Coturnix japonica: one gene and its partner. The protein of the gene in region 2 purifies or fractionates together with the protein of the main gene of each other region. This does not show direct contact. Links are inferred from orthologs where the notes say so. Each region holds a gene or a part of one and is shown on either strand. Other genes may lie near its edges.

Region 1 (4,236 bases), on a different chromosome or scaffold from region 2:
AATGGAGAGGAGCTTTGAATCATTTCAGTCATTTGAATAAAAATCACAAAAGACAGTATAGGTCAAGGAAAAGGCCAGAGCCTTTATCTGCTTCTATGAACTGACCTTATGCATTCTCTGAAATTATTCCCTTATTATGCTTAATTCATATTTTATTTTGATTGTGTCTTGCCCAGCAAAATAATTGTGCCTTTCAAAAAATGATAGTAAGCTTGCCCTTTCTGAATACTTTTAGCTCTGAGCCTAATTTGAGATGATACAGTATTGGTTGGTACTTATATCCTTTTATTCCTTTTTATTTTTTACTCATAAAAATTGATTCCTTATATCTGCCTTTCAAGTATTTCCTTACTTCATTTAGAAGAATAAAGATATAGTTTAAATTGTATGGTAGCGTAGGTTAACCATGGGAAAAAAAAATCTTGATCCTTGACTTGGATCAGACTTCTACAGCCTATATTTACAACCTTAACCAATGTTTTTCACTCACCTTTAAAGTAAATGTAGTTAGTCAGAATCATCACTGCATCTTTATCAAGGCTCTTCAGTAAGTCTACAAATTTACCATGGGTCTTTTCTTTTATGTAGTTATTGATTTCCTTTTTAGCATGTTCAGAATTTTGGAAATCCATAGAAACAGCTTCTGAATGATAAAAATTTTTGACATCATCCAAAAATTTTTGTTGCAGTTTCAGTCTCTCATCTATGAACAGAGTATTGCCCATGCTCAATTGAATCTCTCGGTAAGGGTCATTCAGCAGCTGGAGGAGATGCTGGAAGCCCTCATGGATCTCCTGCTCTTCCATCTCTGTCAGGTTGAATGTGAGGCATTTGTGCAGCTGGCTGAGTGTGTTTGATCTAGCCCCCAGTGAGAGCATTGCAAAGGCAGTAGAAAGGCTCAAGGGAGAGAAGAAAATGTTCTTGTTACCTCCCTCCTTTGCAACCTGCTTGTAAAACCTGAATGCAAATTCAGCATTGCTGGGGGCTATCTTCATGTGAGCCAAGTTTTCACCTTCCACATGCCCATGGTGTCCTATGGAATGAGGTCTCTCTTTCTTATGTTTGTTGCTGTGGTTGGGGTTAGGAAGCGCCTGGACTTGAAGTCCAACAAGAAACAAACACAAATACAATACAGGCTTCATTTTCCTTCTGAATAATTCTGTTGAGAAAGGAAAGATTACCTTGTAGAGAATGTTATATTTCCTGCATAAAAACAGTTCATTTTGTATTTGAAATACTGATTTTCATATGCCAGTGTTTAGGATTGCTACTTTCTTTCTATTGGGCCTCATCGCTAGTCCATTTCTGGTCTGCTCTATTTGTTTCCAACCAAGATACTAACATGACACCACTAGGGAAGAAATGATTCTGTGCTGGTTTTTGTGAGGTGTTGCTTTTTGTGAGGCACCTTATCTGAAATTGTCCTTGTGTCTGATCAGCATGGCATTATTGCATTTCTAAGGGTATCTGTGTATACAACTGAGTTTGCATATTGTTCCTATACATTCAGGAAGCACTTTGGCAGAGCACAGTAGACATAATCTTGTGATGACTTGGGTTTTCATGCACTGCAGTAATGAAGAGGTAACATCAGTTATAGTAGAAGAGAATCCATCTGATGCTTCACCATTTAAACTGTATCTTTCTGCCTCTGGTACAGCAGCTCTGAACTCAAGAACTGTGTAATTTCAGCACATTATCTTACATGTTTCAGTAAAATGAGGATAAATCAAGAAATTTTGTTGTATTTCTTCATTGCACATAAAGTATCCATAAGGCTATAAAACTGAACACACAAGAGTTTAGGAAAAGCTAGAGCAGAAGCTTAATTGTGGCCTTGCTGTGTATATATTTGGGTAATTGGATGACCTTTCGTCTTCCTTAAACTGATAGAAACAAATTCTACATAACCCCACAGTTTCTCTTCTTCCCTTTTTAGGAGATATTGTGGAAGTATGTTCTCCATAGAATATATCATGTAAATTATCTCAAATCAGAAATCTCAAAAACATAAAGGAGATAGCGTACTTCAGGAAAACAGAGGTGATGTCACTGTTCAGAGCAATAGCATGATTATTCTACAGTGTGTGAATCTGCCCCATGGTTTACCTCAGGTTGTGTCTGAAGCCAGGTTTGGGTCCTATATCAAACATTTCATGGAGAGTTGTTAAATTTGGATTTCTTCTTATGTGGCTGCCCTTTATGAAACACTTGAGATCTAAGATGTCTAAGTGCTGAGTGTGGGAACTGTGCTCAGTTTGCCTAAAATGACAGATAAAATTATAGACAGAGAAAAAGTAAAATCTAAATGAAAACAGTACACTATGATCCTGTAAATACTCTGTATGTAACACCAGAAATCTGCTTCTGAGAGAGATTAGTGTCAGCCCCTGTGCCACTTAACTGCAGTGTTTGAGGATGGTTGTGGTATCAATATATTACTCTCAGCTCCTGCGCTAGTCCTGTATCAGCCTAAAGTATCTAGGACATCGAGCTGCAAGTGAATTTACTCCTCTGGTAGTAGAGGCGGGGTTCAGTGTTTCACCTTGGGGTGAATGGCAGCTGAACATTCACTTTGGACCTCATCTCCCTTGTCATCCTGACACAGTATCTAAGAGCTGCATCACTGATGGAATCCCATTCTCAATGCATAGACCATGGTTCCAGAAGATAGATTTCCAACTACGTATTCAAAATAAAATCATCTCATAATTAAATACTATGTATTAAATTGCAGAGATCATAGACAATACAAGTTCAAATTCTTCTAAGTATGATATAGTACTTACAGTGTAGTTTAAAAAGAGTCTGCTGGACCTCTCATTCACAGTGCTCCTTCCCTACTCTCCGTTTTGCTCGGTAATATTAAGTTAATGTCCACTGGTAAATATTAATCAAAGCAAATAATATTTATTTGTAAAGCAAAGAATGAGTTAGCTACTTTTTTTTCTAGACATCAAACATCGTAACCCAGTTTTTCAACACATAGGTGAAATGATGCCAACATCTAGGGCTCAGAGGGTAAAGAGCAAGGTTCACACTACTCTTGCATTTGTGCAAACCTGTGGGCAAAAGCGCTTTGCATAGCACACTACCTTGGGATTTTAAAATCCACACAGTAAGAGAACTGGAAATCTAAGATAGGTGCTGAGTGATGTCTGGTTGTGAAAAGGGTAGTTTGTCCTACAGGACTCTCCGCATGGGATATCCTGATAGAAGGATATCTAATCAGCTACCTGAAGCACCAAAAAGCTAGGTCAGGAACAGCTCAGTACCTCCATATTGCCCTGCAATATGTGTTGCAGGGCACATTGTAAATATACTCTAATGAGATAAGTTGCTTCAAATGTAATGCCTTTTATTTCTTTCCATGGGGGAAAAAAAAAAAAAAAAAAAAAAAAAGTACAAAGAGCTCAATAACACTATTTGGTGGAGCAAATTGTAAGCTACAAAATGCTATTTCTTGTGATAATAACCACCATGAATTGATTTGTGTGAGTGAGATGACTGAGATGCAATCCATACCACAGTGTGACAGCTAGATTTGTATGTTGGAAATGTGGCTTGTCTTTCACACAGCTATCACCATTCCTGAAATGCATCACCCTCTGCCTCACTGTGTTTGCCTCTACTGCTTGGTCTCCAGAAGTATTTGGCAAGTGTTGATGAATGTCAGTAGGTGCACATTTTTCCACCTGGAGGAATTCAGTGGCATGCCTTTGCTTTACATGCACTTCCATGTCAGATACTCTAACAAGGGGCATGGCAAAAAACTTGTTATTCCAGTGTCTGAAAGGGAATTATTACTATCCTCCCATCCTACATCTCCTTTTTTCTAGAAGCCCTACCAATATTACAGATTATCGCTGTTTCATCCAACACCCACTCAACAGCACACTTTGTAGAGTTCATCAGGATTAATTTGCCAAACTCAATTTTAAACCATCCTCAGGGAGGAGCAGACATTGATTTCTATCCTCCAGGACAATATCCTTCACAGTACTCCAGATCTAATGCTAACTCTACTCTTGCAGTTTCAGCTTAATTAGGATGTTGGAGTCGTAGGATTGTCCATCTTCAGGTAAGGGAGGGCTGTGAAAACATGAATAATCTTGAATATCCCTGTAACCAAGGCAAATGCTCTGATTGCAGAGATTGGTATGATGGGTAACTGTTGCCTTAGAAAGGTCAGGTTCCACAGAGGAACTTGTTCTAATATTGAATTGCTCTCATAAT
Region 2 (3,650 bases):
GTCCTCATCTTACTTCTGTTCCCACCACCCAAAGCTCGCACCAATATCCCTAATTCTGTGCAAGATTACCTCCATTTTTACCTGAAAAATGAGATTATAGAGTAGGACAGCTGGGTCTTCCTTGCTCTACCAAGGTAACTTTGCCATGTCTGGCTGTGGTACTTTGAAGGGGTTGTCAGCACAACTTCCATGGGTGGTGGCATGAGAGACACAGGGTTTGGAAATTAGATGCAGGAACCCTTAATCTGGCATGTTAGTGTAGTCTCAGGTGAGTACGTGTTTAGGTTGGTGCTTTGGTTTGTGCGTTGAAATGATTGTGGCACAAATGTTGCTGATTGCTGTAGGTGTGTTACCATGCATCTGGGAGTAGTGGTTACTGTTTCACTTAGTTGCTTTGGAGCCCTTTGACTTGGTCTTGTGATGATGTTGCTACCCTGCTTCAAAGCCTGAGATACTTTGGTGCGTCTCTGCAGCTCTGTGCTGAAGCATGGACTGCGCGTTAGGAGTGAGGAGAAATAATCATGTTTGCTCAGACACTCAGGGTAAACCTATTTTATAATATGTGACTTGGTAATTTTGTACCTTTTCAGGAATTACACCACCTGTTTGGGCTTACGTGCTCACTGAAGCTGTCATATACTGTAACCCAGTAGGGGGGACTTGTCTTCATTAACAGAATATTTTCCAGCACAGCAAAAGAGAATGACTAAGTATGCTCTCTTGCTTAGCATTCTGATCTTGTGTGCAGATGCATGGCATGTGGTGGTGAAGATTCTGAGGCATTCTTTCAAGACTTGATGATGTATTGTGCTTTTAAACCTTAGAGCTTCTGCTGCCTGTTGAAGTTTCTCAGATGTCTGTGAAGTTGATGGTAACTTTTTGTCTTTTTAACATTGCAGTTGCTGATGATTCCGCTCATCATGTCAGTACTTTATGTGTGGGCCCAGCTGAACAGAGACATGATTGTATCATTTTGGTTTGGAACAAGATTTAAGGTAAGTCAGATTATTTGGGAAGGTTTCTGCCTGGAATACGCTTACAAAGGGAATGAGGGATGAAAAAGAAGTATTTTCTTCAATTAAGGGTGTCCTATGCTTTCATGAAGACATATAGTCCTTCACATGCAATGAAGACAGTTCTCTCTGATGTCTTCCATACGATGCCAGGACATCTCTTCAGTAAAACCACACTGAGTGACAACTGAAATTCATTGATCTGAACAAAAGAGGGGGAAAAAAGTAATTAACCTGACTAAAAGCTGAACAATAGTGAGAAAATGTTTGGAAACTGCTCTTTCCTGTGCAGATTGGTTTGATTCTGCCACGTCTTGTGATGAAAATGTAAATGGCAGAAGATGTATCTACATAAAATATTAAAACAAGTATGATTTGTCCACACGTTAGTGGTTTCTCAGTGTAAAGCAACGGCTGTTTTGGTTATAATCTACTTAAGTTAATATAACAAGATCTGCGCATTGCTAAAAACTGAGAGTCTAATCATACTTAGTAGTGCAGTGGATCTTAAGCAGGTTCAAATTCCACACTTGGACGTACAATTTCTGTATCTCTGTTCTTTTTCAGGCCTGTTACCTACCCTGGGTTATTCTGGGATTCAACTACATCATTGGTGGATCGTATGTATTTACAATTAAGGCCTATTTAAAGTTGTGAAGTCTTTTACAGCTATCTCTTATCACTCTCATCAGCAGCGTTACTAAAATAAGAGGCTTAGAGCTGTATAATCGGTCTGATCTTGGTCAGTGTTGTATGGTGATTGTTTAAGATAATGCAAAGAGGAGCTATGGATGTGAGAGCTAAGTGAGGAGAAAGTAATAGTAAAGTGATTGTTCAGGTAGATCTTTGCATTAGGCCATTTCCTTACTAAAAGCATGATGCCCAGCAAAGAAAGATTTCATCCTGTAAGACCAGTCATCGCTGCTGATTTTTAGAAACAAACTTAATTTGAATCTTTTAAGCAGTGTTTCTTCTTTCCATCAGAACCTTATCCAATGTGTAGCTTTTATCAGCATGTGAAACACGGAGAAAAGACAATTGCAAGTCTGTGGAGTACCATATTAGCACTTTCTGTGTCTGTTGGCCTGCTTTGCATTTCTCTGAGCGTAGTGATGCAGAGTCCCGCTTGTGCAGTCTTTCCTATTAGTGCCCTGTATTGGCTGTGGCCACGTGGTGCCGCTGTAACACAGTGACAACAGCAAGTTGCATGGTTGATTTATAAAAGGAGGAGATGGGAATACAGCAAAATAAACCTCAGTTCCCTTTTCTGGCTGTGCCTCCTACTGACTCATCCATTACTTGAGAAGACTGCTTGCTGTTAGATACCTGCTGTTTCTGTGCATGACAGAAAACACTCAAGGGCCTCCATTCAGCAGCGTTCCTGCAAAATTAGGAACACAACAGTACAGCAGGAGACAGGTTGTCCAGCAAAAACAGCAAGGACTTCTCAAGCTCTACCAACTTTTCTTTTAGACACTGATGGCTATAGGGTTTAATTCTCTGTGGTAAACAAGCATTTAATTGCATTTTCAGTACAGTCTGTGAGAAGGCTTGGAAGGGAGGGTTGGAACAGCCTGTTGGTGCGTTGGTGCTGAATGCTGGCCCTTCTAAAGAAGTGGCTGCAAAATGCTGAGGGAAGGGAAATTTCTGTAGTTCACAGCCCTGGCAGTGCCTGTGGCAGGTGAACAGTGGTAACTGGCAGAAGATGAGTATTCATTTATTGCTGGGGAAAACAGCCTGCGAAACTGTTCTTTTTCTTTGCAGAGTCATCAATGAGCTCATAGGAAATCTGGTTGGACACCTGTATTTCTTCCTAATGTTTAAATATCCAATGGATCTGGGAGGAAGGAATTTTCTGTCCACACCTCAGTTCTTGTAAGTTGACTTAATGCTGTAGCTCACTGTTTATTTGGACCAGTTTTCAGGATTGTTTATAAGGTCGTATATCTTCTGGGATTGCAAAGTGTAAAATACCTCGTTAAATGAGTGTGCTTCAGCATATAGTGGCTGTGCTGTAGTGTATAGACTGTGACATCAAAAATGTTTCTTTTCATTGGAGGTGGTCAGTGTTCTTTGTTTCCCCAGTGGGTAGCTTGTGTTCTATACCTGCTCTTGAGAATAAGAGGAAAAGCTATGCCTCTAATAATGAATTAAACTAGTAAAGAATTATCAACAGTTGCCAATTATCAAACAGTATCCATCAGATTCTTTTTAAATAATTTCCTGTAAACAACCTTTTTCTGTATTTCCATGTATTGTTACAGTAACTACCAGTTAAGCAATACATAATGACAGAAATCCATTGTAGGTTTGCTAGGCACCATTATATGTATCTGCTCTGCAGTTGGTGTTGGACACCCTGGCTGAGAATTCAAGTCTTGGATTCTAAAGTGCTCTTTTTGTAACTTATTCATTGTTTTGGCACTGGAATATTAAGATCAGAAGCCAAAGACTGCAGTTTCAATTCCCCGTGTCCACATCCATTTGAGTTGTAAATACCAGTGCCTCTACCAAACTTCAGTTAGCAACATGGTTAGTTAAAGGTTTGTCCTGTAGAAAGGTTAAAAGATAAAAAGTGGAAATACAGTTGCACCTCCTGTGCAAGTTTTTAAGAGTAGTGAAGCTTTGTATGTGCAA

The links.
Region 1: the proteins of DERL1 (region 2) and alpha-1-antitrypsin-like purify together in Homo sapiens (affinity purification with western blotting; 4 studies listed by BioGRID). This does not show direct contact. The link is inferred for Coturnix japonica from reciprocal best matches to the Homo sapiens genes DERL1 and SERPINA1.

The regions. Positions count from the first base shown.
Region 1 is NC_029520.1:41,319,705-41,323,940, forward strand, and holds the start of alpha-1-antitrypsin-like, read right to left. Parts: upstream 2,898-4,236; 5' UTR 2,790-2,897; intron 1,160-2,789; 5' UTR 1,143-1,159; coding exon 491-1,142; intron 1-490.
Region 2 is NC_029517.1:124,314,809-124,318,458, reverse strand, and holds part of DERL1 (derlin-1), read left to right. Parts: intron 1-899; coding exon 900-995; intron 996-1,580; coding exon 1,581-1,633; intron 1,634-2,777; coding exon 2,778-2,888; intron 2,889-3,650. UniProt on the Homo sapiens protein: Functional component of endoplasmic reticulum-associated degradation (ERAD) for misfolded lumenal proteins. Forms homotetramers which encircle a large channel traversing the endoplasmic reticulum (ER) membrane.